Arabidopsis thaliana: one gene and its partners. The protein of the gene in region 1 interacts with the protein of each later gene in a pairwise test. Each region holds a gene or a part of one and is shown on either strand. Other genes may lie near its edges. The genes, in order: GRP18, AT4G26770, AT4G03600 and AT1G47530.

Region 1 (7,494 bases):
CGTGACGTAGCGTAGATCTCCATTCACTCCAATCGTTTTGCATGGAGCATGCATGTGTGTGTACCGTGCACGTAGTAGAGACCACACAACTCCTTCATAAAAGCCCTCTCTCTCTTACCATCACCAAAACACAACAATCCGATCAGAAAATATGAGCGAAGAACTAAGTCAAAAGCCATCATCAGCTCAGTCTCTGTCACTGAGAGAGGGCAGAAATAGGTTTCCTTTTCTGTCCCTGTCACAGAGAGAGGGCAGATTTTTTCCTTCTCTATCTCTTTCAGAGAGAGATGGAAGAAAGTTTTCTTTTCTCAGTATGTTCTCTTTTCTCATGCCACTGTTGGAGGTTATTAAGATTATTATTGCTTCTGTGGCCTCCGTAATCTTCGTCGGTTTCGCCTGTGTAACCCTCGCTGGTTCTGCCGCAGCATTAGTCGTAAGCACCCCGGTTTTCATCATATTTAGTCCTGTTCTCGTACCAGCTACGATAGCCACGGTTGTCTTGGCGACAGGATTCACGGCCGGTGGCTCTTTTGGAGCGACAGCACTTGGTCTCATCATGTGGCTTGTTAAGTAAGATTATTATAACAGCTTATATTGAGATCACTCGAGATTTATGCTTAATTATATAATATTCATAAACCTATAGTTTAAAAGTATATTGAACTTCATTTGTTAACGTACTTTATAAATATTGAACTTCGTTCGTTTTCTTAATTGGTCTCTAAGTATATATACATACTTTTTTGTGTGATGCAGACGTAGGATGGGAGTAAAGCCGAAGGATAATCCACCTCCGGCAGGACTTCCACCGAATTCGGGAGCAGGAGCAGGAGGAGCTCAAAGTCTGATCAAAAAGTCAAAGGCAAAGTCTAAAGGTGGGCTTAAGGCTTGGTGTAAGAAGATGTTAAAAAGTAAATTCGGTGGTAAAAAAGGCAAGTCCGGGGGTGGAAAAAGTAAATTTGGAGGTAAAGGCGGTAAGTCCGAAGGTGAAGAAGGTATGTCGTCTGGGGATGAAGGTATGTCTGGAAGTGAAGGAGGTATGTCCGGAGGTGAAGGAGGTAAATCCAAAAGTGGAAAAGGTAAACTCAAAGCTAAACTCGAAAAGAAAAAAGGTATGTCCGGAGGGTCCGAGAGTGAAGAAGGTATGTCTGGAAGTGAAGGAGGTATGTCTGGTGGTGGAGGAAGTAAATCCAAAAGTAAAAAAAGTAAACTCAAAGCTAAATTGGGAAAGAAAAAAGGTATGTCCGGAGGCATGTCAGGAAGTGAAGAAGGTATGTCTGGAAGTGAAGGAGGTATGTCCAGTGGTGGAGGAAGTAAATCCAAAAGTAAAAAAAGTAAACTCAAAGCTAAATTGGGAAAGAAAAAAAGTATGTCCGGAGGCATGTCAGGAAGTGAAGAAGGTATGTCTGGAAGTGAAGGAGGTATGTCCGGAGGTGGAGGAGGTAAATCCAAAAGTAGAAAAAGTAAACTCAAAGCTAATTTGGGAAAGAAAAAATGTATGTCCGGAGGCATGTCAGGAAGTGAAGGAGGTATGTCTCGAAGTGAAGGAGGTATATCCGGAGGTGGTATGTCTGGGGGCAGTGGAAGTAAACACAAAATTGGAGGAGGTAAACACGGAGGTCTTGGAGGTAAATTCGGAAAGAAAAGAGGCATGTCCGGAAGTGGAGGAGGCATGTCAGGAAGTGAAGGAGGTGTGTCTGGAAGTGAAGGAAGTATGTCCGGAGGTGGTATGTCTGGGGGTAGCGGAAGTAAACACAAAATTGGAGGAGGTAAACACGGAGGTCTTAGAGGTAAATTCGGAAAGAAAAGAGGTATGTCAGGAAGTGAAGGAGGTATGTCTGGAAGTGAAGGAGGTATGTCGGAAAGTGGTATGTCCGGGAGTGGAGGGGGTAAACACAAAATCGGAGGAGGTAAACACAAATTTGGAGGAGGTAAACACGGAGGTGGAGGTGGCCACATGGCGGAGTAAAGAACAATGGTCAAGTTGTTCCAACATTAAGCAGATCATTGTGCATTAGTTCAAGATTGTATGATTGGGAAAGTAAAAGAAAGAAAAAAATATTTTCTAATAAGTTTTATGTTTATATGTAATGTTGAATCTGATTATTATGATAAAAAGACATAAATGTGATACAATGTTTATTTTAAGAACAATAATAATGTGGCAACAGTTTTAGTCCATTCTGTAGTAGAATTGCTTCTGTTATTCAATTGTACGTAAGCATAGTTTTATAGTTAAAATGAATATAAAGAGGATGTTTCCCTAGTTATTTTCTATCTTGTATTAGATTTTCTGGTTCAAAATAAAAATTCAACTAACAAAGCAGTTTGGGTTTGTTGACAACAAAAATAAGCTACAGAAGAACTTAGAGACGCATGGTATGAATATTTATTTGAGGTTTGAAGTAATTTTTTGTGACCGCAAATTAGTTGTTAAAGGTTTCTAAGAATCATGTGTTAAGTTTATATGAATAGTTTTCAATACATAGTTTCTCACGTTCCAAGACTTTTTTCTATCATATATCTCACCAATGTAAGCCTTAGGACTCGAATTTGGGGCTAATACTAAAACAGCATCCCTTTTTCTTTCATATGTGATATGTATCATAAGAGCCCTCTAATATAGTCGTGTGGTTGAGTGGTTTTGGTGAACCTTCAACAACATTTTTTCCGTCTCAAACCTTCTCTCTCTCTCCATCCAACGGAAGAATAGGTGAACGGTTCTCGGGTTTCCGGTTATTTAGTTGCATTCTTAAGCGCCCCTTAGTGTGTTGAGAAATAGCTTGGACCAAACCATTCACCAAAGATCCTCTATGTAGTTTTGTTACGCATGATTGTATTTTAACAGCCAAGTGGTAGAATCTTGTTATCACCTTTTTAAAAATGTTTCATATATCTCCCCAAAATATATATATTCCTGAAAAAAGTCGAATGTATATGCTCGGCCTTCTCATGTTTCGACAATATTTTATTTTCGAATCTAATACAAATTTATTTTACGAGATTTGAAAATTAAACAGCATATTGCAATATCATCAAGCCGAATAGAGATTTACTGCAACCATCATCCGTAAAATCAAGCAAACTAGTATTCATCAAACTTCCACAAAATCTCGCCTCCTTGAATTTCTTTCGAAGCCCCTATATTAGGTTGTTCCAACCGTAAACATGAATTGCAACACGACAATTAATGTTTGAGCTTTTTAGAAGAAAGAAAAGATGGCTCAAAAACATGACAACCTAAAAAAAAGGAAAAAAAAAACAAGAAAGCAAAGGTGACGTGACGTAAATCTCTATTTACGATCCCATCGTTTTGCATGTAGACCCCTAACAACCATCAGATAACAAAGTATGAGCCGAAGAACTCCATCAAATCAAATCTCACTCATCAAACTTTAACATTTAACTATCACAATATGTTTTCTTTTCTTATCTTCTTGTTGGAGGCTTTTCAGGTGGTTATTGCTACCGTGGTCTCCATAGTCTTCTTAGTGTTCGCGGGTCTAACACTGGTAGGTTCAGCCACGGCATTAACCATAACAACACCGCTTTTTATTATATTCAGTCCGATTCTTGTACCAGCCACGATAGCCACTGCTGTCATAACCACAGGATTCACCACGGGTGGCGCACTCGGAGCGATGGCCGTTGCTCTCATCAGGTGGTTCATTAAGTGAAATTTTGTAAAACTATAGTCATTTTTGTTTTATGAAAAACTTGTTCAATTCTCTTTTTTTTTCTCTATTCTATCTTTGATTCTTTTCACATATTCTAATTCATTTATTTTAAAGAATTAGTGTACCCTGTGTACACTTAATGGTCTTATTAATTCTTTAATGTTTTGTCTTCTAACTTCGTTGTCTATTCCATCACAACCCATGTTTACCTTTTCTTGAAACATCATTAGAAAAACTGTCAACGTGATTAATAAGAAGTGGTACAATTTTGTTTTTAATACATAAGTAACCTTTGTACGCACTTGTGAGTATATATGTAGACGTAGGATGGGAGCTAAGCCGACTGCGGAAGGAACTTCGTCAGCCCAACCTCTTCTCAAATTGCCAGTTTATGGTGGATATGGAGGATTTTGGGGAGGAAAGAAATTTTCTGGAACATTCGGAAATAAACCAGGGGGTGGAAATCCGTTTGGAGACATCTCAAAATGGCTCGGACCAGGGGCCGCAGGTGGAGGTGCACCTGGAGGATTAGGAGGGGGCGGAAATCCGTTTGGAAACATCTCAAAATGGTTCGGACCAGGGGCCGCAGGTGGAGATGCATCTGCTGCTGGTGGTGCACCTGCCGCTGAAGCTGCACCAGCCGCTGGAGCTGCGCCTGCCGCTGGAGCTGCGCCTGCCGCTGGAGCTGCGCCTGCCGCTGGAGCTGCGCCTGCTGCTGGAGCTGCTCCTGCCGCTGGTGGAAGTACACCACCCACATGGTAAAGGAAATAAGTCAAGTTGTTCCAACATGTATATTGTGCATTGATTCATAAGGAAACAAAAGCTTTTTAAAACGTCTTTTGCTCATATGTATTCTCCAAGGTCAAAGCTGCTTACACAAGACTATGCTACAATGTTCATTAATTTATAGTATAAATCATATAGCTCGATGAACAAATGGGAACGTATAATGTATAATGTACGGTCGACTCTTAGACCATGTACATTGCACATTTAGTCGGCATTGTAGTCTGTAAATCATACTATATCAATTCTTAAGGTTTTTATATACTAAGTAATTTTAAATTGAAAATTGATTTCACTATTTTCAAATTTGTTATCTATAACAAAGCAAATTGATTATTGAATATTTGAAGAGAAAAAATAATAATTGAACTGAGAATAAATTATATATTTCTAATTAAAAATTACGTTACATTTGTAACTAAATTTTCTTTCAACAGCTACATTTTAAAATATCGTATATATAGTCAATCAAATTGCTGTTTTTTTTTTCTGGTCAACGATCAACAACCCAAACTTTTGATGGTATATACTGACAAGCGAGAAGTTTATTATCTATGTAACGGTTGCATGACTAGTGACTAGTACAAACTTAGCCAATAAACTCTGTTTTCTTCTAAAACTCTGTTTTTTTAACATTTGTGCATACGATCGAAACTGCAAAGACTTATAGAAGATCAAGAATCAGTTTACATGACATAAATCATTACAATTAAATTTACCATCTACATGACAAGATCTCGTATCTTGAATCTTGATCGCTACTTAGTGTGTTGAGAAACAGTTTGAAACAAACCATTCACCAAAGATCCCCTCTGTAGTTTTATTACGCATGATTGTCTTTTGACAGCCAAGTGGAAGAATCTTGATATCACCTTTTTTCAATGTTTCATATATATCCCCCAAACTTAGAAGAGTTTTCCTGAAAAAATCGAATATGCTCGGCCTTCTCATGTTCGACGATATTTTATTTTTGTATAATTATCTAAACTCTCCCACTTGGCCAACCTCACAAGAATCTCTTACAAATTTAATTTAGGAGATTTGAAAATTAAACAGGCATATTGCAATTTCATCAAGCATGAGAGTTTCGATAAAATCAAGCAAACTAGTATTCAAAATTCCACAAAATTTTGCCTCCTTGGATTTCTTTCGAAGCACCTATTTTAGGTTGTTTCAACCGTAAACGTGAATTGCAACACGACAATTAATCTTTGAGCTTCTTACAAGAAAGAAAAGATGGTCCAAAAACATGACAACTCAAAAACAAAAACAAAAAAGCAAAGGTGACGTGACGTAAATCTCTACTTACTCCCATTGTTTTGCATGTATAGACCCCTAACAACCATTTAATAATAAAGTATGAGCCAAAGAACTCCATCAAAACAAATCTCAGTCATTGAAATTTAACATCTATCCCAAAATGTTTTCTTTTCTCATCCTCCAAGTGTCGGAGGTTTTTCAGGTGGTTATTGCTGCCGTGGTCTCTATAGTCTTCTTAGTGTTAGCGGGTCTAACACTGGCAGGTTCAGCCACGGCATTAACCATAACCACACCGCTTTTTATCATATTCAGTCCGATTCTCGTACCAGCCACGATAGCCACTGCTGTCATAACCACAGGACTCACCGCTGGTGGCGCACTCGGAACGATGGCCGCCGCTTCTCTCCTCAGGTGCTTCATTAAGTGAAATTTTTAAAAACTAAAGACTTTTGTGTTTTATAAAAAAACTTGTTTAATTCTCTTTTGTCTATCTCTGATTCTTTTGACATACTACCTCATTTATTTTTAAGAGTATCGTACACTGTACACATTAATGTTCTAGTATTAATCTTTTAATGTTTCGTCTTCTAACTTTTGAGTTGTCTATTCTATCACAACCCATGTTTACCTTTTTTTGAAACATGATATATCATTAGAACAACTGCCAACGTGATTAATAAGAAGCGTTACAATTTGATTTCAATTTATAATTAACCTTTGTACACACTTATGTAGCCTGCGACGTAGGTTCGGGCGTAGGAGATTTGGGGGACTTAGGAGATTTGGGGGAGGTAGGAGATTTGGGGGAAGATTTGGAAAACCAGGGGGTGGAGGATTAGGAGGTGGAGGTTTACCTGGAGGATTAGGAGGATTAGGAGGTGGAGGTTTACCTGGAGGACTTGGAGGATTAGGAGGAGGCGAAAATCCGTTAGCTAAAATCTCAAAAATGTTCGGACCAGGGGCTGCAGGGGCCGCAAGTGGAGATGCACCTCCCGCTGAAACTGCACCTGCCGCTGGAGCTGCACCAGCCGCTGGAGCTGAACCGGCTGCACCACCCACATGGTAAAGGAAATAAGTCAAGTTGTTCCAACATGTAGCATATATATATATACGTTTATGCTCGTATGTAATCTCAAAGCTGCTTATACTGAAATAAAGAAACACAAGACTACAATTTTATTATTTTCTAGTATAAATCATATAACGTGATGAATAACCGGGAACTTATAAACAATGTACCGAGAACAAAGAGAGTATATTGTACGGTCGATTCTTAGGGCACCTCTATTGGTGTCTCAAATATCACTCAAAACATAAATTAATAGTAAACTTTAAAGACACCATATCGTTTTGGATCTAAAATGTCTATGCAGAGACACAAACTTCTACTATTCAAAGACACTCCTTTTTTTTCTTTTCTTTTTTAAATGTATTTTAAAAACATCTCATTTTTTCAACCAATAGAGATGCTCTTAGGTTTTTTTTTGGTGGGATGAGGGGGCAATGCACCCTACAAAAATTTATTAAAATAGAAAATAAAATTACAATCGAACTCTACGAGAATATGCAGACCCTCTTGCGTCCTCAGACAAACAAAGCGACAAATCGTCTGGACAAAAATCATATAAATGCAAACCTAAAGAAAGCGGAAAAGCATAGTTGGCTAATCCATCAGCGAGGTGATTACCTTCCCTATACACATGTGAAACTCGGACTGTCCAGTCCTTCGAAAGAAAGCCATAGCACAATCGTACTAGGAAAGACAAAGGAT
Region 2 (9,295 bases), on another chromosome or scaffold:
CACCAAGAGCTGAGCTGCTAGCAACAAGAACGCAAGAACTCTGTTTCGCTGCATGCTTTTTACACAAGTTTTTTCAATTTTTTGCTTCTGCAAAACAAGAACCTCACGATTAATTGGGAAGAACAATTGGAGCAAGCATTTAAGATGGAGAAAGATAGGTATCTTCTATCAAACCTGACTAAAACAGATTTAGCTCGTGTAGTTAATACCTTGGCCTGTTGTTAGATGATGCTTATTAAATACTCCTTAGTCTGATATGTCTCTGTTTATTTTTGGCCACAGAGAGTTAGTTGAGGTGAGTAATGAGCTGAAAATGATTGAGAGTTTCAATAATAGTTGTGCAGCAGAGAGCCGTATTTATAGCTACTAAAAAAGAGAGAAAGACAGAATATTTTAAAATAGAAGGATTCGTACCATTGCAAGCTTCAGATGTATATGTAACGCATCTTCCTTTTTACCGGATTCACGCTCAAAACTCAACTCTCTGTTCTTGTATCACTTACTGTTTTTATTGCTTACTGAGTCTAGAGTCTTGAATGTAAAGATTATTTGCACTTTGGGTGAACTGTGTCGCACGTTTTGGGGCTTTTTAGTTCAACCATAGTTTTGGTTGTTGCAACGACAATAACAAGTAACGGCAAGAAAGTGTCTCTCATGCGTCAAATGTGACATTTCCGATAAAGTAACTTTGTTTTTTGAGTCTCAACTAAAGATTTATAAATTTATTGACAAGTGGTTCATAACATAGGTTTGCGTTTTGAATTAACTAGAGGCTATTAGCAATTAAGTGGTCATTTATCGTTTGTTGAATTATAGATTAAGTAGTTGAACATTAATTTCCAAATTCTCCCATCCAAATGACGTCAAATCTACACAACCTCTATATTAATCCAGCAATTTTAATTAAACACAAGAATGAAACTAAAAAAGCCAAACCACTTAGCAACAGTAACATACTGCTGCTTGTTCTGTTTGGTAGGACTGTACCAATCAGGCCCAGGAGATAAATGGACTTCGTCTGTCCCAAAGATATACAAGTACCTTTGGTTCTTTCTAGAGGCTTCTCAAATTAGCTTTCAAAATCTCCCATTTGCTATAATGACAATAATACCCTCACAGGCTCGCCGAATCAAAGCGATCATTTTAGCCTCAGCCCGCTCGTGCAGCGGTAAGGCTATTTACGTAAATTACTAAAAACCCCGAAAGAGAGAATTGTGAATTCTACTATCCATCCACCAAGCACTCTGTGTGCCTCTGCAAATTAACAATTTCCTCAGAACAATTACATTTCGATTCGATTCGATTCTCTTATCTTCTTGATCTCTGTTTGTTCATCTGTGGTGGATCTCCAGATGTTGGTTTTGAGAATTTTGTCGCGAGTAACCCGCAACGCGGGCATACGCTCATCTCTATCCGCCGTCACTCTTCCGGCGAGGAATCAGACTCCTGTTTTCTCGAGCCGGTTTCACTCCCTAGCTCACGATTTCTCGCATAAGGTTCGATTTTCACTCAAATTAATCACTATTCATGCCGAAATTGCAATTCAGGGTTTTGTTAGGGTTTAAGGCTTTCCCTCATTTGAGTTTCTAGAAATGATTGCTATCTTCTGATACTGTTTCCTTGATCTCTTATGTTTGAATCTTCAGATATATGAATAAACAATAGAAGAATGGTTTAGATTCTCTATAGGTTTTTGCTCTGTATCATTTCACTGAGTTTAACCCATTTTACTTTTTTTTTTGGGGGCAGCTTGTTCCAGCTCAGATGTCTATGATGGATTCGTTTGCACTGCAAAGGTTCAATTTTTCTTCCTCTACCTCGCCTGAATCAGATGAGAAGAAGACCCACACTGAGGCCTCAAAGACAAGTGAAGAGAAACCTACAGCTGAGGCAAACCAACCAGGTCTTGACTCTGAATCTAAAGATTCTGTGACAGATTCTGCAAAAAGAAAGCGGAAAGGTGCTAAAGGAGCTGCATCTTCATCTTCTGAATCAGATTCTGAGAGTGATGATGATGAATTGTCAGCCGATGATTTGGTGAAGCTCGTAGCTGAGAAGGAAGAGCTACTGTCTGAGAAGGAAGAAGAGATTAAGCAGTTGAAAGACAAAGTTCTTCGCACTTATGCTGAGATGGAGAATGTCATGGACAGAACAAGACGTGATGCTGAAAACACCAAAAAGTATGCCGTACAGGTTAGTCTTTAAGAACTTGGTTTGCAGCTTTTGTTTCATATAATAGTTTTCTGAAATATATATATTCACTATATATGTATGCAGAATTTTGCAAAGAGCCTATTGGATGTGGCGGATAATCTTGGAAGAGCTTCTTCGGTTGTCAAAGAAAGCTTCTCAAAGCTTGACACCTCAGAAGATTCTGCTGGAGCAGCTCCACTATTAAAGACCCTTTTAGAAGGAGTGGAGATGACTGAGAAACAGCTTGCTGAGGTAAATATCGAGAAATGTAATTATAAGACCTTAAGTAAGCAATGCAGATGAGACCGGTTAAACATGTGTGCCGCTGCAGGTATTTAAGAAATTTGGTATGGAGAAGTATGATCCTATAAACGAGCCATTTGATCCAAACAGACATAACGCAGTGTTCCAAGTCCCTGATGCTTCTAAGCCAGAAGGCACAGTTGCTCATGTCTTGAAGGTAAATATATAAAGCTTGCTCAATTCTTTGTCTCTTTATTTCATATTGTATAGTCTTAAATACCAATTAGTAATGATGGGTGTCAATATGTGCAGTCTGGATACACGCTGTATGACCGAGTTATAAGACCAGCTGAGGTTGGTGTTACCCAGGGAGGAGAGAACCAAGAAGAAAAGAAAGAGTCTGATGCTTAAGAAGAAGTCAGCTGGTTTTCATAAATTTTGTTACGGTTCTATGTTTCCATTAACATCTTCTCGAGTCTTCGAGTCATAGTTTTCTTTTGTGGTTTGGTTATTCATTAGATGAACAAGATCTCCCATAAGTTGCTGGACATGGCATTTGCAGGGGAAATCCTGCTTCTGTGTCTGTTTTCTCTATCTCCATGCTATAATTGAACGAGGAAAATATCATTTTACATCTCTTCTACTCGCACACTATTACCAAGTCTCTGTTTGATTAGTTAAATCAGATACAAATCAAGGTTTTACATGGTCTGATACAACCAGAAACTAACCATAGAGAAAGAAGCTGAAAACAGAGTCACAAAACTTGCACTCACTATTTAAAACCTCCCTTGCAACTTATGTTGAAGAATGTCTCCGAGCTTTTCATAAAGCATTTTCTGCTCCTCGTGTCCCAGGCTCCTCGATATCTGCAGGTATAATACAATCAATTATTTACAATGCCTCCGTATTCTTGGCTTATATGATGATTCTTACCTGGTCTAGGATCATCTCGACACTGTAGTCCCGATTAACAATGAAAGATTGGATGTAGATGTATGCGAAAACCGCCATAACCATCTGCATTTAGGCAACAAGATTCGTTTAAAACGATGCAAAGATCATATTGCACTTTTCGACGTTAGTGACTCTTACTTGGCAATCCATTCTGTCAGTAAATCCTCCATGTCCTGGTATGCTGTCTCCGAAATCCTGTCAAAGCGACATAAACTAGTAAATATTTGTTCTTGGATCTGTAGATACAAAACCTTTTAATGTTTGAAAAATGTGTTAACCTTGATCTTGAAAGCTCTTTTGAAACCGCTTGCGAAGAAGCCACCAAAAGGCGCCATAATGGATGCGAATAGACCGAGAGAAAAAGCATGCCATTGGACAGGCAGGGTCGAGATCCCTTTCCATGGAGACTGTTAAGCAAAGTTCACAACGGAGCTCAGTTTCAAAACAAGACAACATCATCGGCTGGTTTTCACGAGAGGACAGTTAATTGCTTACAAATGGAGTAATCCAAGAGGGAAATGGGTAATACTCTGGCCTGAAGAGAGGGCCTGGATCACAATGAAGCCAACCAGTTGATAAATCCTGCAAAAGATATGCAACACAAGGATGAAGTAAAGGCCGAGACAAAATATTGTGATGGAGATATCACTTTTTGTTACCTTCCTTGGACATGTAAGCCATTGGAACTGGCCTAAGACATTAGCAAACTGTTGTACGAAGCAGATAATAATCTATCAGTCTTGAGACCAAAAGAAAGAGTTACGAACGAATGAATAAATGATAGAAGAAGGTTATTACAATAAATGCAGAGATTATAGTTGCAACTGATGCTCCGATGAAACCTTCCCATGTTTTCTTTGGAGACAACTTGATGAGCGGAGTTTTCCCGAAATAGAAACCGAAGAAGTAAGCTGCTACATCGTTCATAGCAATCAGTGCTGCTGGTAGAAGAAACCTGCATATTTAAAAGAAATTAGCACTCGGGAAAACTATTATGCTTCAGTGGATATATATAAGAGTCCATTGTACCAGAAGATCCCTTCAAAAATATTGGCGACGGTGAAAGAAGATTGAGTAAAGACAACGATAAGGATCATATGTGTCCAAGCGTATTGCCCAAACTGATACTTATACATCTTATTCTTCAATGTAAGGATAAACCATATGAGACCTGAATCCAACTTAAGCTGTTAATAAATCAAGAAAGAGAGTATTGTTTTTGTGAAGAAAAAAGAAACAGACAAACCTGCGATGTACAAGAAGTAGCAAATAACCATCTGGTACTTGATAAGACCACTCACAAGCTTGTATATGAATCTATCTGAAGAAACCGTGTTGACTAGCTGCTGTTGAATGATGCGTCCATAGACAAACAACATAGCCGTGAAGAAGAAGTGCCAATTCAAGAGCCAGAAACCGGGTAAGCGACGTTCTTCATGAGCTCTTCTGCGAAGAAAGAAGAGCTCTTTGGCCATGAATATCTGTATAACCACAACCATAGCCCAAATGTAGAGATGACCCATGTAGATTATAAACACAACTCCACCGAGCATCCAGAGAGATGAGCATGTCCTTATCCACATTGATCTGTACTTGTTCTTATCACCAAGTAACAAATTGCTTACTCTGCTTACATTGCTTCTGTTCACCTCAGCTAAATTCTGATCAATATTGAAAAAGACAATCAAATTTTGGATTCAACCGGAAAAGAGAGTATGACATTGTATAGATACCTCGCTTGATCGCCTGCGGTGTCGAATGCGAGCTGTTGGAGAGCTAGGAGTATAATTGTAATCCCTTGGTGAATTAGGAATGTTGGGATAATGGTTATCTCTCTGGTTATTAGTATTCATTCGAGACGTTGGTGTAGTAGGGTAACTAGTATCCCTTAGCTTTCTAATCCGTGGAGAATTTGGACTGAGATCTTTCTCCATTGCCATTGAGATCCCTAGGAAATGCTCTCAGTTCCTGGATTGAGTTCTTGAAATTCAGTTAATCATGATGATCTGGGTTTCTTTATACATCCGAGGAAATGAATTTGGGGTTGATCTATAATTTCAAAATGTCAACCATAACTCGAGCTTATACACGTCTTAATGAAACACACACATTGATATCTGATGAGAGATTACTTGTGTAACAAGCATATAATAGAGGATTTAGATTTGAATGTGTAAGCCTAGAAATCTAAATGATTCATCAAAGCAAAACGTGATGATTCACATACAAAGGATAAATTTCATAAGTGAACATTGCAACAAAATGGGATCATGACAAGTAGAAAAAAGAGAATGAACTTACATTAACGAAAACGTGGTGGGATGATGGTGATTGAAAATGCGAAACCCTAATTAATGAAAAGAAACGTGAAGAAAGAAACTCAAAAGGTGAGGGAAGAAGGAGGAGGAGGAAGGTGGTGGATGAGCACTTAGCGGTGAGGTTTCATCAAATCATCGGAAGAGAGAACCAATAAACTATTCATGTCGCTGCTTCATGTTTAAACCCGGAATGAGTGACACGTGTTGTCTTGATCTGTTTGGGCTGGGTCAGATATTTAAGCCCATTAAGGAAAGCCTTTTAACTATTCAGACATGAGCATGAGGAGTCAACGAGGTCTGTGAGATCAGTGGTCAAATCAGTAAATAACGCGAAAAGACAGGGTCTCTCACCTTTTTGCTGTTGTTTTTTCCTCATTAATTATTGAGTTCCGTAAAATGGGTCCCACTTTTCCCATTTCCCAACCTCCATAACCAAAGTTGGAGATTTCTCTGTTTCCTATGCTCTCTCTCTCTCTTACTCTCACAGTGACTATTCGTCGCTTCAGATCTAAAAGAGAGGAAGATAAACCATTTGGATTCAATATCGATTAAGGTAAGAAAGCCATCTTCTACTTGTTGGATTCGATTAGTTTCATTTCAGCTCATTGCCTCTTTACTTCTTCAATGTTGATTTCTTGCTTTGGCTTTGGTTTTATCACCAATGCTGTTTGATTTCTTTGAAGTTCCTTTCGAGCTTTTCTTGAGCTTAGTTTCACATTCTTAGCTTCACTAAGTTCTTTGATGTGTTTTTGTTCCCAAGTTCAAAATGTTGTTTCTGATTCAATTTGGTTTTCTAAAAAAGATTGCAACTTTGGTTTCTTTTAGTGTATAGTTAGTTTGGATCTTCACTAAATATGTTCGTTGTTTCTACTTTTGTAGGAAACCTTTTGACTTCACAAGAATGGCAGTGACAGAAGCAGAAAATCCTCTTCTTGGTGAAATCACTTGTGGCACCTTACTACAGAAGTTGCAGGTAGATTTCGCAACATACACACTTATCCTTTTAATATATGGTTCCACAAACTCAATGTACAAACTTGTTACAGGAAATCTGGGATGAGGTTGGGGAGAGTGATGAAGAACGAGACAAACTGCTTCTACAGATTGAGGAAGAGTGTCTGAATGTTTACAAAAAGAAAGTTGAGCTAGCCGCAAAATCTCGTGCAGAGCTTCTTCAGACTTTGTCAGATGCCACTGTTGAACTTTCCAATCTCACAACTGCTCTCGGGGAAAAAAGCTATATCGACATTGTAAGTAATCTCACGTCTTACAAGTGGTAAAGAGATGAGATGGTTACAGTGTAGTGTGATTCAATGTCTTTGTTTCCATTGCAGCCTGATAAGACTTCAGGAACGATCAAAGAACAACTTTCTGCAATAGCACCTGCGCTTGAACAACTTTGGCAACAGAAAGAGGAAAGGGTCCGGGCATTTTCTGATGTACAATCACAGATTCAGAAGATATGTGAGGAGATCGCTGGCGGATTGAACAATGGACCTCATGTGGTTGATGAGACTGACTTGTCTCTAAAGAGATTAGATGACTTCCAGAGGAAACTCCAAGAGCTCCAGAAAGAGAAGGTAAAATATTAGTTGGGATATGGTTATGTGTGGCCTATGTTCAAACCAGAACTAAAACTGCTTTGTGTTTGAGCAGAGTGATAGGTTACAGAAGGTGCTCGAGTTTGTGAGCACGGTGCATGATCTATGTGCCGTCCTTCGTTTAGATTTCTTAAGCACTGTCACCGAAGTTCATCCGAGCTTAGATGAGGCAAATGGTGTTCAAACCAAGAGCATTAGCAATGAAACACTTGCAAGGTTGGCTAAGACTGTCTTGACTCTTAAAGAAGATAAAATGCAAAGACTTAAGAAGGTTAGTCAAAATCATGGTCTTTGTGATCTCTGACATGAGCTTGGTCAGTTTAGGCTGCACATATGTTGAAATCCTTTCTGATTAATTGCGCTGAAAGTTTGTAACTTTTCTCTGCACCATTCTTGTTTGTGGATTTCATTAATGTATCTTGGTTTTATGCAGCTTCAAGAACTAGCTACTCAGCTAACTGATCTATGGAATCTGATGGATACTTCTGATGAGGAAAGGGAGCTTTTTGACCATGTTACCTCTAACATTTCAGCTTCAGTTCATGAAGTGACTGCCTCTGGTGCTCTCGCACTTGATCTTATCGAACAGGTATCGTAAATTTGTAATGTATCAATCAATGTGTATGATAAGTACTGCTTTTAAAAATCTTCTGTGAACTCTTGAAGGCTGAGGTGGAAGTGGATAGGCTTGATCAACTGAAATCTAGCAGAATGAAGGAAATTGCATTCAAAAAGCAATCAGAGCTTGAGGAGATATATGCTCGTGCTCACATAGAAATAAAACCAGAGGTTGTTCGTGAGAGGATCATGTCGTTGATTGATGCTGGGAATACTGAACCTACTGAGTTACTGGCTGACATGGATAGCCAGATCGCAAAGGCCAAGGAGGAAGCCTTTAGTAGAAAAGAAATTTTAGACCGTGTAGAGAAATGGATGTCAGCTTGTGAGGAAGAGAGCTGGCTCGAAGATTACAATCGAGTATGCTAACATTGGCTATGTTAATAAACACATTACTTATTAAGCATAGAGTTCAATTGATGATTCTTTTGGGTTTTTGTTCTGGAAAAACAGGATCAGAACAGGTATAGTGCAAGCCGAGGTGCGCATTTGAATCTCAAGAGAGCTGAGAAAGCTCGGATTCTGGTCAGCAAGATTACTGGTAAGAACTTCCAAAAGTCTCTCTTAGTTATTACTACACATAGAATTAAACTGAGACTGAAGAATATATCATACTTTGTTTGTGCAAGCTATGGTTGACACGTTGATTGCTAAAACCCGGGCATGGGAAGAGGAGAACAGTATGTCCTTTGAGTACGATGGAGTTCCTTTACTCGCCATGCTAGATGAATACACTATGCTTAGGCAAGAACGAGAAGATGAGAAGCGGAGGCTGAAAGTAAGTTGTTTCATCCTGTGTTAAACCGATTGTTGAAACTAACTTCTTTTAAAATAATCTTGCCTTTTCATTAACAGGAACAGAAGAAGCAGCAAGAACAGCCACACACAGATCAAGAATCCGCCTTTGGGTCTAAACCAAGCCCTGCAAGACCCGTTAGTGCCAAGAAACCGGTGGGAACACGAGTCAATGGAGGAGGGCTCAACGAAACTCCTATGAGGCGTTTGTCTATGAACTCAAACCAGAACGGAAGCAAGTCCAAGAGAGACAGTCTGAACAAGATAGCTTCACCTTCGAACATTGTAGCCAACACAAAAGATGATGCTGCATCTCCAGTCTCTCGTGCTGACCCAGTGATGGCTTCACCGTGACAATATCAAAAGAAAGAGAGTTATAATGCTTACTTACACTTTTGTTAGTTGCTAATAGTGCTGTTTAAGAAACAAACACTTAGAAACAAAGACAATGAGAGTAGAATGTTACTTAGATGTTTCTGTTTCTGTATTCATTCACTCAAATTTGTTTGGTACTTGTTAGCATGACTAATGTGAAGTGACCGGTTTAGTGAATGAAAGTCAAGGTTCTAA
Region 3 (7,072 bases), on another chromosome or scaffold:
TGTCCAAATTTCCAACATCTTCCTCTGTTGATCATTTTTTTGTCTGATTGATTCTCTCCAGGCGGCGTTTCTGAACCGGAAAACATGAGCCGTCTCCGAGCATTTTCTGCGCCGGATTTAGTCCCTTCAGATTCTGGATCTATTACATCATCACCAACAAGAACCATAGAGCACCAATCTCATGAAGATTCTGGTTTGGAAGGTAGATCAATCACATTCATCTCATAAAGATCGATTTAAGACATGTTTCATTTTCCGTTTTGGGCAAGAAAACAACTTGTGACTTGCATGGCAAGAAATATGTTAAACGTGTTCTTGTTTCTGTTTTAAGGAATCACTACGAACGTGAAGCTACTGCTGAAACTCGTTCAAGATCACAACGAAGCAACATCGAGGCACCACGATGATTGGAAAGTTCAGAGAGTCAACACTATGATGACGATTCTCGATGATCTAAAGACACGAATCCAGAAAGCTCAACAACAATCATCATCTGGGAAAAAAGAGCTTAGACGATGCTACACCGATCTGAAACGGAGTCCTGATCTAACCAAGAGTCCAACAAAGCCACCACAGAACGATCCTGAAGATATTCAGAAACTGAGAAAAGAGTTAAGCGCGAGTATGGCTGCAAGAAAGAGTCTTCAAATGATGTGTTCAAGTTTAGGGAAGGAGAAAGAGATAATGGCTTTGGAGCTTTCGAGGAAAGCTCACGAATTAAACGAAATGGAGGAGCTTGTAAGTGATTTTAGGGCTCAAAATGAGAAATTACTTAAGAAAGTGCAGAATTGCGCGGTAGAGCATAATAAGGAGAAGAAAGAAGATATTGATGGTCCAGGTCCAGGAGACAACAATGTGCCTCTACAGGGAAGAAACAAAGAGTTGTCTGAACAGCTACTCAAATCTATTGACGGATACCGATCTCTGAAAAGGAAATACAAAGATGTTCAAGACGAAAATGGATCAATGAGACGAGCGCTTAGAGATTATGCAGAAGGAGTGAATGTTGGGACTCAGAGACTAACCAAGTTGCATGAAAAGATCACAAGAGAAGATGAAGTGAATATTGAGAATGAGATTTCAAATTTAGAGAAGTTGTTTCAAGGGCTTGGTTTAAAGATTTTGAATCATTCCCAGAACAAGTAAAGAAACAGAGATTTTCATTACTGTATCAAAATATAGATTCTACTCATATAATTTTGGAAATTTTTGTCATTTGTATTCTTGATAGGTAACAAGAATTCTAAGATTTGTCTTTAGTAATTTGCTCATAGGTCTATTGGAAGCCGTAATCCGTCATGAGCAAGCTGTACATGGATTCCTTCCCTAGAAATCAACATAGTCTCTATTAGCATTCAACGATGTTGATTTATAGAAATCTTATAACATTGTTTCATTGCATACCTTAGAGACCATTCTGCAAGTATCTCATTGTATTCATGGTGATCAAACTCGTGTGTCATACCCGTTAAAAGCGCTCTCTTTGGACATAGCCTCTTTAAGATCTCAAGAGCCTAAAGAATAGGAATATTGAAACTTACTCTCAAAAAGGTTTAGAGAAGTGAAGCATTCTTTGGGAAGAAAAAAAAGAGAACCATTGAAACAAACCTCTGTAAAACAGATGTGTGTGGGATGTGGTCCTCTCTATTATCAAAGAGATGGTCAGCAAGAAAGGTTATCAAGATCGAAAAAGCGGTAAACAAAAGTTATGAGATGATGTGAACCTTCCACGGTATATTTGTATCCAGGATAAGAAGATCTAACTGTCCAGCCCCAGCTTTGGAAATAGCTGCTTAATCAAAGATTCATAAGAATATCAATCTTTCTCTTTAGTAGAAGTGAACTACAGAGGTATAATGATTAGGGCATAACATAATGAGCTCTTACCATACTCGGTACTCGGTGGAATCCGTGATACGTCTGATATATAAGCCACTTTACTTTTATCGCCGAAGAGGAAACCTAAAGCAATGTAGTCCTCTCCATGCATCACCTAAAGCATAACTAACATTGTTGAGTCTATAAGGTCTCATGGAAGAATTAGACTGTTTTGATTTCTCAAAAGTGAAAAGAAATTTAACCGGAAGAGGCGTGAAAGATAAGCCCGAGGCAGCGAATGGTTCGTCACAATTCTCTTCGATGTTTTTCCAGTCAAGAAGTGAAACTCGTCTAGGTACTTCTTTTACCTTCTTTTCAACCAAATAAGGAAACCTTGTAGCAATACTGCACAATTTTTTGTTGCCTTAAAAGTCTCATCAAATGCTAATTTGAAAAGCTTTAAGCCAGAGTTGAGATAGAGAACACTAATCGAAGATGGTACCTCTCCATTGTAAATTGAGATAGAAAGACGGGAAGTGGATCGGTATCAACAATAGTTGCACCACGAGGTTGAAGAGATCGAATTTCATCTAAGCCATGAACCGCATCTGCGTGCTCATGAGTTAGAATGATCTACACAAAATCATACAAGCATTAGTCAGTAAAAGTTAGATTTCATTTCAGAGAAAAAAATAGATGCAAGAGATCAAGAAGATAAGTATATAAAGGGCTTAACGGAATCGACTCGAGGAATCTTATAAAAGGTAAACCAACGAAGGACTTGCTCTCTAAAACTCTTGCCAACATCAATAAGTATGTACTTATGTCTACCATCTTCTTCCTTGCTGCAATAATCAATCAAGAGCGATGTATTGCATCTGCCAAAAAACAGAGAATCAAGATTCAAGAATGTTCACCAAACCCTAATATATCTGAAATAATTTCCCAAGAACACTAGAAATCGGATGGTTCATTTTTACCTAAAATGGATTAAAACCTAAACTCCAACACGAATATAGACAACAGTAGATGTCTCTTTTTTCAATCAAAACTCCCAACTTCAAAAGGGTCTTTACGGAAAGCAACAAGATTTGACATTTCACAAATCTCCACAGCTTCAAAGACCAAAACCCAAAGAGAAGAAACTGATGACAAGATTTACCTGTAGTTAGGGTTAAGGTGAGGAAGTAAAGAGAGGGACTGAGAACAGACATGGCAAGGAGGATCTGACGGCTGGAGTAAGCATCTGAAATCGGGAACTGCACCGGAGCAGCCTGTTCCAAGAAAGATCAGAGCCGTTCCATCATCATCAGATTGATTCTTCTCCATCTTCTCAAGATTCTGATCTTCTGGTTGGTCTAGCCAAAGCTGATTAATGCCAACGGCTATATCTTTGTTTATTGTATTAGTTGAGATTATATGCGATCCCTTACACAAACTTGTCTTTTTCACAGTATATATATTCCTTTTATTAACATAAAATATCTAAGCCATTACTTTGAGTCTTTGACACTGATATATGTAGTCATAATGATATTGACTACTAATTTTTCCAAACAAAATAGTAAAAGATTAATGACTTACCCCACAAATCCACCGGATTGTGATTTTTTTTGTTATATATCATTGTTTGACTCCTCTAAATTAGAAAAAAATCTTCTACATTTCTTTTTCTGTATAACAAAATCTTAAATTTAAATCGTTATGGTAACGAAATCTTTTCTTTTGTTTTTCCAGTTTATTGATTAAATATACTTCCACAGAATTTAAATTTACTTAATTATTAAAAACAATGCAGTCACAATCTTTCCAATTACCATTTCATTATCTCACAAATTCGACCAAATGTTTTTCATATTTCACAAAAAAAAATATATTAAAGCGCGTGTGAACCATAACCACGCGATTGCCAGCTCAAAAACAAATTCACAAAGAAGCGTACACGACACGCGCTACGACTGAGTGTAAGGATTCTCATAAACTGCTCTATTTTATTTTGCTCAGTCGCAGACAAATCTCAAAACAGATTCGATCGATAAGCAAGAACTTCCAATCTCTAATGGCAGATCAAACAGAATCTCCAAGATCGTATCATATCTTCATCACAATCATGAGTAAAAGACGGACATGGGTTTGTCTCTTCATCGCTGTCTACGCAATTCTCGTATCTTCTTCATGGAACCTCCTGAGATCAGTTCTTAACTGGTACAAGCTTCAATACACGTCATCAAATTCAGATTATTCTCCTTCAAGATTACCGGCGGTATACGCGTCGGTGGTGCTCGGTGCGATGTTTGGAGCTATGTCGATGGTGGCTGCTATGACGGTGGCGGTTCCGGCGGTGATGGTGATTTGGATATCGGTGGTGGTGTTGCTTGCCTTCTTTGGGAAATCAAGAAGAGTTTTAGTGGTTGAAGGAAGGAAGATTACGAGAGAAGTTGTCGGATTTGTGTTTAAGGTTCTTTTGAAAGAAGGCAATGTTGTTGCTGCTTTTTGTGCTGTTTTAGCTTATTTTCTGCTTATTAGAAGAGATTTTGACTCATATTAAGGTTCTTGATTTTTAGATTATTTAGGGAATTTTGATCTAGATTATCTTGAGTCACTCCCGAATGTAAATGTAAAGTTAATTTAGAAAATCAATTGTTAGTAGTAGAATGAAGAAGTTCATGATGCATTGGCTCAATTTTTTTTGTTTGTGGTTAGATAATTTTTCTTGATGACAGCATTTAGTATCTAGAATGGATCGTCCCACAACTTCTCATTTGAGATATTGAAAATCATGATTTGTTATCCGTTTGTGGGTTCATTGCCACACAATTTCAACACATGGACCAATAACCAAGTGATTTACATATCCTATTAAGTTTGTTATCAGTTTTCACTATTTAAGTTACCCGGTTATTATTTTAGTAGCTTAAAACTACATCAACTAGTTGAAGAGGCATGTTTTGCGAAGATAAGATCATATAATAATGGGTTACACAACTTCTTTCTTACTCAAATTCCTTCTTGAGGAAGGTGTAACATTCCAACATTGAAGTAGTGGATTTCACACACTGATACTTATTTTTATAAGTACCTTTCTTGATAAAAAGAATTCTAATACCTCAACTAAAAACTCTAATTTGGGGAAAAAAATTAATGTCTGCAAACCTTTTATAACAAAAAATTCTAAGAACTCTAAAATCATGAAAATGCGTGAATCTTTTTGTCTTTGGAACATATATTGTTGAACTTTTTTTTTTAACTGAGCAAAAAAAAGAATTTTTTTTTGAAAGACCAAATTGGATGACAATTATGTTAAATTTCACATGTTTCTAGGATAATAAGGTAATTTAAATACCATCGCTCGGTCTAGAGAATTACATCTTAGGATTTTGGGATTTCAGATAGAGGATTAGGGTTTAGTCGATCATCATGGTCCTCAATCAGTGTGCAAACGTGACGATGATAGAAGAAAAGTTGAGCAAGTTGATGGAAGAAATCGAATCTGTGGAAGCTGATGAGAGCGAAGATACCAGTGACGACGAAGAAACCAAAACAAACGTGCATGAGGCTAATTTTGATATGTTAATGGCGCCTGAATGGGATGTGCATAGCTTCGAAGGTTTGGAGTATTATACATCTTCAAATTCGTAACTTTCCTTCGATGAACAGTCTTATCCCGACATGGAAAAAGCTAATAAATACTATCATATCTATAAACTATATATCGTTAAGAGCAAGGTATGTAATCCAACTCTGTTTTGCGTTTGTTTGATTCCCAAGACTTGACCAATATAGAAGACTCGAAGGTATGTTCTTCTGTGCGTTGGTTTTGAAAATTATCAAACAAAAAGATTAGGTATGTCCGGTAAAGAACAGAAACTATCTTATCTCGTATTCATCCGAGTTTTTGTCATATACAATACCCGTTTTTTCTGTCAAATAATAATCTTGTTTTTAATATGTTTAACTTAATGTAACAAGTATGTCGTTACGTATGTCCCAAAATTTTCCATTTTTAATATTATTTAAATATATGAATAATTGTCTCAAATAGACCTTTAAATATCCCCAAAAAAATAGAACCAATTAGCTAGAATTCGAAAAATAAAATTTAAATTTTCAATCTTCTCGTTTCGAAGTTTTTTACTCATATTATATCAAGAATAGTTGTGGTAATTTTTTTTTTTCTAAATTACTCAAATTATTAGTTATGGTAATGTTTTTTAAACTTTAATTTTTATCTCATATTATATCTTTTACATGTTATTTTGATTATTTACAAAAAGAAGCAAAATTCAACAGAAATCTGAGTTATTTTTCAAAATGTCCCGAAAAGAAAATGAAATTAGGAGGGCACTTGGGTTAATATCACACACGTTTCCTGGGCAAAAGGTAACTAGGTGATTTAAAATCTAATTTAAATACCATCGTTATTTCCAGAGAATCTTCCGATTTCAATTTCCCAATTTGTTCGGATCAGAGAGAGTTTTAGGGTTTAGTCGATCAACATGCTTCTCAATCAATGCGCAGAGAAAACGATGATAAAAGATTCCATGGAAGCATCTTCTTCAGTGGTGGTTAGTTCGTGCCTGAAAAAGCGTAAAGCCGAGTTCGACCCGGAGGATGAGGAAGAAAGCAATGGTGAGAAAGAAGAAGGCAGTGATGGGAAAGCCAAAATTGAGGAGCCTAAGGCTAAAACAGATTATTACTTTAAGGTGCCAGAATGGGATGTGGACAGTTTCGATGGTTTAGAGTATTATTCATCTCTGGAGCCGATATTAATATATTATCCTCCGATGAATCTTACACCGAAGAACAAATAGAACAATATTGCAGCTATAAACGCCAGATCATCGAGAGTAAGGTATGTCCTAATCCTTTGAATTTTGAGCTAAATTTCTTGAAATTGTTGTGGATTAATGGATATTTTACGCGGATCCAGCGCTTAAGCCAACTGATCATTACAAAGGATTTAGACCAATGAATTTGGAGTGGGAAGCGATTAGGGGTATAAAAAACTTTCGCGAGTACAGGGAAGAGATGGTCTATGTTGTCTCCAAAAACTTAACCAAGACAAGGTTTGTTCTCTCTCTTTTACCCTTTTCTTTTTGTGGGTTTGTTTAATCTATCACGCACCTTCCATTCTAGTTTAGTAGCTTAGACTGAATCACGAAAACGAAAATCTAATTTATTCTCTAAAAAACTAAAGGTCTGGCTCTAAGAGAGGTCTCGATTGGAATTTTATCTGAGCTTGAGGATTCAATCT
Region 4 (9,001 bases), on another chromosome or scaffold:
CACTTTATTGTCAGATTTGAGGATTCGAATCTCTATCCCTATACTCTTTTCTGATAGTACTGCGGCGCTTTACATCGCTTTTAATCTCGTGTTTCATGAGCGAACCAAACACATTGAGGTGGATTGTCACACCGTCAGAGAAAAGTTAGAGAAAGGGATTATCAAGCTGCTTCATGTTCGAACAGAAGATCAAGTTGCAGATATTCTCAATAAAGCTCTGTTTCCGCATCAGTTCACTCATTTAAAATCCAAGATGAGTCTTCATAACATATTCAGCTCATCTTGAGGGGGACTATTGAGTGTATATACTCGGTTTAGATAAGTTAGATGGTTTAGACCGGTTTAGTCACTTGTATATAACAGAGCAATTGTACAGATTGATTCTTTATGATGAATGAATGAATAAACTTTCTATTCTTATCTTCATTCTCTCTGATTTGTAATAGTCCCTAACATTGCTTTTACAGCAAGACTCATGCCCTCAAAAATTCTTCAAAGGCATCAAAGATTGTATGTAAGTAAAATCCTCAAAAATGGAAAATTTGTTGGGTATCACGAATGCAAAAACAAAATTAAAAAAAAAAGATTTATGAATTAAAAAATAATAATAATCATTACAGAAATATTTTATTTACTCTAGGATACACATTGGTTAAAGATAAAGTCTTAAGTAATATATATTTAACTTCTTCTGAGGGACTTTAGTAATTGGTGATGTACTGAAGAGACAACAAACCGACCACACCATTTGTTTAGTGTGAGCTTACAAGAGTTGAACCAACTGTATTGACACATAAATTGTGTTTAGAGAGTTTTCTAAGTGGCATTATCTATTATAACTACATAGAACTCCAATTAGTTTAGGCAGAATATTTTTTAATTGAATACGACACTAGATTTATATAATAGTAACGGGCCTTAATGGATCTTATGTACAAGAAAAAACCCTTAGAATATTTGTGTATAAATACTTACATTATCTGAATGAATAAAGCAACCCTTACCAAATATTTCAAATAGTGATTGTCTGAAACAAGCATCATTCGGGGCAAAGAAGACTTACTTGCTTAGTGGAAGAAAGTCTTCATTGAAAATAACACAGCTAGTACTAGCAGAAGTGATAACATACCGAAAGGAGATGAAGAAGTTAAGAGGCAAAAGAGTCGGCCCAATGATGTGAAGACGATGGAAGATGTGACACGAGTTGCAACAAACAAAACAAAAGGCATTACGAGACTCTTTCGTTGTCGTAATTTCTCACCCCTTAAGATATTTGTTTGTTTGGTTGTGAATAGTTTATAAGTAGAATTCCGGTTTAAATCGAAGAATAATATTCGACATTTGCATATCAAGAGGGAGGACTAATTTTACTTTGATCAAACACGTATAATCCTTTATCTTATAAAGTACAAATCACCTAACAAATCATATTATGTCACATGGCTTACTTCATAGATTTGAAAAAAAAAAACAATGAAAAAATGATTAACGGGCAAGAGTAACCTTCTCAAAATAAGGCAGTTTGAGTTTTCAAAATTTATTCACACGATGCCAAGATTTATTAACACATTTTTCACAATAAAATCATGTATGATTAATCATACGCTGGATGGTAAAGAAAAAGCGTATGATTAATTGTTTTCTCAAAGGCGTCACATCTAATACATCATGTATCACAGTTTATACCTTTTCCGCATTCACTTCTACCATATCTTAAATCTTAAATATTTTCTTTGTTTTTGTGTTGTTTTTTGGGTTGAAAAATTAATTGAGACATCATTGTAAAGGTTTGGTTCTAAATTTTATCTTTATATTTCTTAGATTGTTCTCATATTATTTTATCTATGACGAATTACTAGATTATACTTATCATTCATTTTCATATTTTAGTTCCAAACTAAATGAAAATTTTGATGGTTATATTTTTATGTTTTTAATTCAAAATTACATATGTATAATGAAAATTACATTTTTGCATATTTAACGATGGAGTTTTGAAAATATCAATTCCCACCATTTCACAAGAAGAAAATCAAATTCGGAAGATCCATCTCCATTTTCTACATGAAATAAATTATTATAATATCATATATAATATTTTTGTAAAATTTCTTACATACTTCTTTCTAATCTCAAATAATGTTTTGTCCAACAAATTACATCAAATGGTTTACAAGATATATGTATCCTCTCTTAGGAAACTGACAACTAAACTAGAAATATTTTAGGAAGATATGCAAAACTACCATTTCTTACTACTCTTTTGCAACAATACACTTTTATGTTATCCATTTTAAAAAATACCACTCATCTGAACAGAATGACCAAATAACCCTTATCTAATAAAAACATGTAACTGGAACTGAAATTTTCCCACCAAATTTTTAGTGCCAAAATTTACTTTTCCCGCCAAAACAAAATTCCGCCAAACTTTTTTCCTGCCAAAAAGAAAATTTCCCGCCAAAATGTTTTTCCCGTAACAAATTTTTTCTCAACCAAAATAATCCTTTTAAAAATCCTTAGAAAGTTTTTTAAAAGCTTTGATAGTTATTAAAAACCCTTATAAATCATTTTAAAATCTTTATAAAGTCTTTAAAAACATATGTAAATACTTTAAAAATCCCTTTTAAACCTTTGTGAATCATTTTAAACCTTTTACAATAGTTTTAAAAGGATTTACAAGGATTTACAATGATTTTTAAACCTTTGTAAATCCTTTTAAAATCTTCTTAAAACTCTTATAAAGTCTTCACAATCATTTTTTAACTCTTAGAAACAAATTTGTTAGTATTTTAAAACATTTATTATTCTTTTTGAACCATTTTAAAACTCTTGTGAACCTTTACAAAAGGTTTTAAAAAAACTTACAAGAGTTTTTAAAGGATTTTAAAACTCTTGTAAATATTTTAATTTTTTTTTAAACTATTGTAAATCCTTTAAAACCCTTGTAAACCCTTGTAAACCATTTAAAAATCTTTTTAAAACTCTTGTAAACCCTTTTAATAATTTTGAACCATTTTAAACTCTTGTGAACCTTTACAAAAGGTTTTAAAAAGATTTATAAGAGTTTTTAAAGAGTTTTCTTTTAAATTCTTTAAAAATCTTTTAAAAACCCTTGTAAATATTTTAAACGCCTTAAAAATTCCTTGTAAATCTTTTAAAACACTTTTAAACCCTTTAAAAATCTTTTAAAACCCTTTAAAAATCCCTTGTAAATATTTTAAAACCCTTTTAAACCCTTTAAAGATCTTTTAAAATCCCTTGTAAATCTATTTCCAGCCAAAAAAATATTTTTGCGGGAAAAATGTTTTTGAGAAAAAAACTTTGATGGAAATTTTTTTTTCGAAATTTTTTGGTGGGAAATTTATTTTGGAATATTTTAGGCGAAAAAATATTAATATTTCATTTTGTTAACCTAAAACAATTTCGAAATATGAGTAAAATGGTCATTAAAAATTTAAAGAGGTATAAATGAAAATGGCAAATAAGAAAAGGTAGAATTGAAAAGGGGTAGTGTGGAAAGGACATTCTGAGCAATTATTCAATATTGTATGACTACTAAATTCTCATATGCAAATGTGAAATCAAATTTGTATTCAATCACTTGTTTATATAATGTCTGGTTCTTTAGATATTAGCTCACTTCAGGTAAGAAAACAAAATGTGGTAGCCTCATTACTTCATTAGTGCAAAGAAAGTGATTCTTTGGGATAAATTTGGATAATTTTGAATCAAAGCTGTAGTAGGACAATACACTTTTATAGTATTTTTTATTAAAGGGAAAACTCAACATCTAAAGGCAAGGAATATCCAACAGTTTGAACGCTAAACAATCAAGGGACAAGCAGAGCGTTTTCTAAATAAAGTTGCCGTTCTTTGAGAGCCGAGCTCGAACCGTAATCTGGCTTCATCACACACATAGTTCATCTTCCCGGTCGTCCCATCTCTGCAATCAGGAAAATGCAACCTCGATCCAAACCTCATATCACCTCTTTCCTTAATATTCTCCATAATATCTTTCACAATCACACCATCCATATCTCCTTCAGAGGCAATCGATGTAACCTTAAGCAGCTTAGGCCACCACGGTTTGATATTGTAACTAAATACTCACAAGAGTTAATCTATGTTAGTTTTCGAAACAAAAGAAATATGTGAACAAAACTAACAACCAAGGAGTGAAATCTTTTGAGTCCACATGCAATATGTGATACAACGAGGATTCATCCCTCTCAGTATAGACTAGTTATTCTGAAACATAGCTTCCTCACTACCGCAAGAATCCCATGATACAACAACTACGCTCTTACAACAATGGTTAATTTGATCACGATTCAATAATCATCTACCATGATTCACTCTCTTTTTGGTTAAAGTTCAAAGTAATATTTTCGCATTTCTTTGATATAAAACGATGTCGATTATTTGGTTCATGACTTTTTATTTCTCTTAGTTTCACAACAACTTCGCTCTCACAACAATGGTTAATTTGAGCACTAACCAATGACCAATTGACCATGCATGATTCACTCTCCTTTTGGTTAAGTTCAGACAGTGTAAAAGCTTTTCTTGTTACAAAATGCTGTCGATTTTTTGGTTCATCAATTTTATTAATTTCTTTTGCACTTTCACCAACACCTAATATTAAAAAGAAAATAAAAACAAGATCCACCAATTCAATGCGATAGGGTAAGTGACTAAATGTTCATTGCCGTTGTCACCCTTTGAACCCAATTTAGGACTCAAAGAGCCGTCTGATTATATTTAACCTTGGTCGAAGTATTTCTAACGAGCTGGTAAGTCCTCATTGGTCCATTATATTCACTGTCCACAATAATTTTAATTACTTGTACGACTCGGTTAACTCCTTCTAGGAAAAACTAAAGTGTACCTACCTAGTACATACGTACTTCTTCATATTACCACAAGTTTTTTTTTTTTTTTCTTGCATTCAACTACGTGTTTAAAGTTTCGGCCCCAAACTTCGGCCCAAAAACAAAAACCAAATAAACTATTACAAAAATCTTTGTTATCATATCACACTATCATTTCAAGTTTTCAACCAATCCATACTCTTAACAATCCCATTAAATTGAGATTTATTCATATTAAGAAATTATGCTGATAATATTTAACTACCAAATTAGGCCGATTCATACCAAAACTATAGAATATGTACTAAATAATTCCATTACCTTCGTTTAGTCATTTTTGGCGGTTTATTTCTTTTGGATAGATCTCATGTCAGACCTTTTTAGACTATTCATTATGGCACCTACCACACTAGTGTGTCTCCATCTTCTGTATTTATATACATATATCATAAGTCAGAACAAAGAGAAAGCAAAGAAGAGAAACTAAAACAGAGCTTTTTTCACATGGGAAAGGATAAGACTTTGCCGTTGCTTGACCCTCGTGAGCCACCGGAACTCACCGGAACCAAGTCGGCGTCAAAAGTATGGGCCAAAGAGTTCGGCGAAGAGTCGAAGCGGCTTTGGGAGTTAGCAGGACCAGCGATTTTCACTGCCATAAGTCAATACTCTCTTGGTGCTCTCACTCAGACTTTCTCCGGCCGTCTCGGTGAACTTGAGCTCGCCGCCGTCTCAGTTGAAAACTCTGTTATCTCCGGTCTTGCCTTCGGTGTCATGGTATGTTACGTAAACACCCTTCACACGTGTCAGGTTCTTGGTAATGGATAATGTGTTCTAATAATAGCCACAGAAATAAAAGTCAATATTTGAGGACTTTTTTTGTATTAATTAATATCAATATTCGTTAATATCAATGAAGTAGATTTTCCCATACATTTAAAATTGTTTCGTAATTGTGATTAAGTAAATCCTAACAGTGTGTTTTATATTCAAATAAAGTAGATATATTAATGTAGTTGAGTTCAGTGTTATAATATTTGTTATACAAGTAATCTCTACGAGGGTCCTTGTGTAAGCTCTCTTGAATTTTGTTGCTTGTCATTTAAGTTTCCTATGAAAAAAGCTTAGAGATCAAACAATATAAACATTTTGATGATGGAAAATGGTGGCAGTTAGGGATGGGGAGTGCATTGGAGACGTTGTGTGGACAAGCATATGGCGCGGGACAGATTAGGATGATGGGAATATATATGCAACGTTCATGGGTCATTCTCTTTACTACTGCTTTGTTTTTGCTTCCCGTCTACATTTGGGCTCCTCCTATTCTTTCCTTCTTCGGCGAGGCTCCTCACATCTCTAAAGCCGCGGGTATCATTCTTGTTATTCCTTTTTGCCAATTGGTTTTGAGTTTGGAGTCAATGTTCACGTAACAACTTCTGCGTTGTTATAATTTTCAGGGAAGTTCGCATTGTGGATGATCCCGCAACTATTTGCCTATGCAGCCAACTTCCCGATACAGAAATTCTTGCAGTCACAGAGGAAAGTTCTTGTGATGGCTTGGATCTCTGGAGTGGTTTTAGTTATACATGCAGTTTTTAGCTGGCTCTTCATTCTTTACTTTAAGTGGGGACTTGTAGGTGCAGCTATCACTCTCAATACCTCGTGGTGGTTGATTGTTATTGGTCAGCTTTTGTATATCTTAATCACCAAATCAGACGGTGCGTGGACTGGATTTTCTATGCTAGCGTTTCGGGACCTCTATGGATTTGTCAAACTTTCCTTAGCCTCTGCTCTTATGCTTTGGTACCTATCCAATTTTTTTTGGCTAGAAGATAGCTTTAGACTTACGTTAGCTGAGACTTCGCTTGTAATGAAAGGTTAGTTGTTTTTGTTTTGCAGTTTGGAGTTTTGGTACTTGATGGTTCTGGTTGTTGTTACCGGTCTCCTTCCTAACCCGTTGATACCAGTCGATGCCATCTCCATTTGGTAATCAATTTGTGCTGATCTTTGGTTAGTTTCTCACTGAAAATAGGTTTGTTTAGTAACATATTTTATGTTTTGGGGTTCACAGCATGAATATAGAAGGGTGGACTGCCATGATTTCGATCGGGTTTAACGCTGCGATTAGGTAAGTTCTCTACCTTTATGTTTCAGGAGCCACATTTGGAAAGCTAATAAAAATCTCATGAACTGGTGAACTTTGTCTCTTGGTGTGATCAGTGTGAGAGTATCGAATGAGCTGGGTGCAGGAAACGCAGCGTTAGCCAAATTCTCAGTGATAGTCGTCTCCATAACTTCAACTCTTATCGGGATAGTGTGCATGATTGTTGTCTTAGCCACAAAAGACAGCTTCCCTTATCTTTTCACTTCAAGCGAAGCTGTGGCAGCAGAAACCACGAGAATAGCCGTCTTGTTGGGCTTCACTGTCCTCTTGAACAGCCTCCAGCCCGTCTTGTCAGGGGTTGCGGTTGGAGCGGGGTGGCAGGCTCTGGTTGCATACGTGAACATTGCGTGTTATTACATTATCGGACTACCTGCTGGTCTTGTTCTTGGATTCACACTAGACCTCGGCGTTCAGGTTAGCTATTTACTAATATGACCATTTTGTATTAGCCTTGTTCTTTTTAATCTGGTGTTAAATCATTTGTATATTTTTGTAGGGAATATGGGGAGGTATGGTAGCTGGAATATGCTTGCAGACACTTATATTGATTGGAATCATCTACTTCACTAACTGGAACAAAGAGGTCTCTTACTTTGTCTTTTAGTTGCTGCTATGTTCCTCCTTTGTGTTTGGTTTGATCATTTCATTAATTAGCTTTGAATTCTAAATTATGCAGGCTGAGCAAGCGGAGAGTCGAGTTCAGAGATGGGGAGGAACGGCGCAGGAGTGATCAACAACTCCCTTAGGACGTGGACTATATCAGTTATTGATCTTTTTTTGTCAATGTTCAATGTTGAGAAAATTGTTTATCGGAGAACAACATCATCTCTTTTTGTTTTTTGATATGCTTAAAGTTAACGAGTCTCTCAGTGATTGTTAGAGGGGTACGGTTTGTTATGTGTTAGACTTATGTTAGATTCTAGGATGGTTGTTGCTAAGCCAAAGTTCTTGATTAATTTTAAGTATGAGATTTAATCTTCATAAGCTTGTTGATCCTTCGTTTTTATTTTAATGGTCAGACTTGATCCAATGTTTATGTTCATTTGAAGGCGAAGATCTTACCGTTTGTCAAACATAGCTAATTAGTGGTGGTATTAGCAACAGATCTTTAGGACTGTCGTTGATCTGTTGCAACTCAGTCACTAAAAATTAACAAATCTTATATAAACAAGAGGAATATTAAAAAGAAAAAAAGAAGATGAAAATGAATATCAAAATAGTTGTGTGACGATACAATATATTAGAGATGGACTACAACAATTCATGAATCAGGGTCACAGACTAACCGTTAAAGCAGTAAATTTGTCTGCCCATCTCATAAGTGTTTGAATTAAAATTTAGGTCAGTCGAGAGCTGTGTGCTATATACTAGATAGTCTACCCTTAATTACTATGTTTGGTTTTCGCATGGAGATTTACTATAAATACACAAACAAGTAATAGTGCTCAAATTGTGAATCAACCCATGCACTAATCCTTTTCATCAATTCGGTCACGGTTAGGATAATGGATTCCGTAATATGGTAACAAATGCATTTTCTGAAATATCAAACTAACATCATTTAATGATTATATTGTTTGATACATTTTATGATATATCAAACTCTGTAAATCAACCAATATATATACAATTACAGTCTAACTTATCTTTTTTTTTTTTAATCTGTGAATGGTTTAGATTTGCATGGATTTAAGGACATAACTAATTAATAATGGTTTAGCGTCTTGTTGTTTTCCTGTTTGGGCATGCGTGCTTCTCTTGAGTCTTTTGACCTTGTAATCTCTATTATTGGAAATTTATGAAGAAAAAAAAGAGTACTTGTCAAAAGATAATCTTATAGTTGGGTTTTACTGTAAGATATTGAAGTTTCGATGTTTTACTTATATCTGAAACGATTGATATTTGCAATAATAATAGTACGATTTTTTTTTGAAATATTATGAAAATCTACAAGAGCTCCGATTTT

Evidence for each region.
Region 2: the proteins of GRP18 (region 1) and AT4G26770 interact in a protein complementation assay, tested with the Arabidopsis thaliana proteins (one large-scale study listed by BioGRID).
Region 3: the proteins of GRP18 (region 1) and AT4G03600 interact in a protein complementation assay, tested with the Arabidopsis thaliana proteins (one large-scale study listed by BioGRID).
Region 4: the proteins of GRP18 (region 1) and AT1G47530 interact in a protein complementation assay, tested with the Arabidopsis thaliana proteins (one large-scale study listed by BioGRID).

Annotation. Positions count from the first base shown.
Region 1 is NC_003076.8:2,377,153-2,384,646, reverse strand, and holds GRP18 (glycine-rich protein 18), read left to right. Parts: upstream 1-3,329; 5' UTR 3,330-3,416; coding exon 3,417-3,661; intron 3,662-3,997; coding exon 3,998-4,439; 3' UTR 4,440-4,749; downstream 4,750-7,494. Other genes in the region: GRP17 (glycine rich protein 17), read left to right, coding at 152-570, 757-1,969; GRP14 (glycine-rich protein 14), read left to right, coding at 5,884-6,134, 6,459-6,789.
Region 2 is NC_003075.7:13,478,618-13,487,912, reverse strand, and holds AT4G26770 (Phosphatidate cytidylyltransferase family protein), read right to left. Parts: upstream 5,850-9,295; 5' UTR 5,695-5,849; intron 5,362-5,694; 5' UTR 5,334-5,361; coding exon 5,127-5,333; intron 5,055-5,126; coding exon 4,640-5,054; intron 4,565-4,639; coding exon 4,423-4,564; intron 4,349-4,422; coding exon 4,192-4,348; intron 4,101-4,191; coding exon 4,053-4,100; intron 3,976-4,052; coding exon 3,889-3,975; intron 3,801-3,888; coding exon 3,672-3,800; intron 3,589-3,671; coding exon 3,532-3,588; intron 3,457-3,531; coding exon 3,373-3,456; intron 3,306-3,372; coding exon 3,216-3,305; 3' UTR 2,970-3,215; downstream 1-2,969. Other genes in the region: AT4G26790 (GDSL-like Lipase/Acylhydrolase superfamily protein), read right to left, coding at 1-54; AR192 (Co-chaperone GrpE family protein), read left to right, coding at 1,353-1,496, 1,750-2,193, 2,278-2,445, 2,525-2,653, 2,749-2,847; MAP65-2 (microtubule-associated protein 65-2), read left to right, coding at 6,613-6,684, 6,758-6,961, 7,046-7,291, 7,368-7,583, 7,746-7,901, 7,979-8,290, 8,384-8,471, 8,560-8,708 and 1 more. UniProt on the Arabidopsis thaliana protein: May be involved in the synthesis of minor phospholipids and in modulation of IP3-mediated signal transduction.
Region 3 is NC_003075.7:1,601,114-1,608,185, reverse strand, and holds AT4G03600 (pyrroline-5-carboxylate reductase), read left to right. Parts: upstream 1-3,557; 5' UTR 3,558-3,877; coding exon 3,878-4,366; 3' UTR 4,367-4,548; downstream 4,549-7,072. Other genes in the region: AT4G03620 (myosin heavy chain-like protein), read left to right, coding at 62-202, 332-1,146; AT4G03610 (Metallo-hydrolase/oxidoreductase superfamily protein), read right to left, coding at 1,269-1,326, 1,405-1,514, 1,609-1,644, 1,725-1,789, 1,888-1,993, 2,082-2,223, 2,321-2,451, 2,555-2,696 and 1 more; AT4G03590 (Cystatin/monellin superfamily protein), read left to right, coding at 5,236-5,425, 6,337-6,552, 6,749-6,888.
Region 4 is NC_003070.9:17,446,346-17,455,346, forward strand, and holds AT1G47530 (MATE efflux family protein), read left to right. Parts: upstream 1-5,207; 5' UTR 5,208-5,378; coding exon 5,379-5,648; exon of another isoform or gene 5,649-5,942; intron 5,943-6,043; coding exon 6,044-6,239; intron 6,240-6,328; coding exon 6,329-6,674; intron 6,675-6,770; coding exon 6,771-6,857; intron 6,858-6,942; coding exon 6,943-6,999; intron 7,000-7,091; coding exon 7,092-7,449; intron 7,450-7,531; coding exon 7,532-7,618; intron 7,619-7,711; coding exon 7,712-7,765; 3' UTR 7,766-8,116; downstream 8,117-9,001.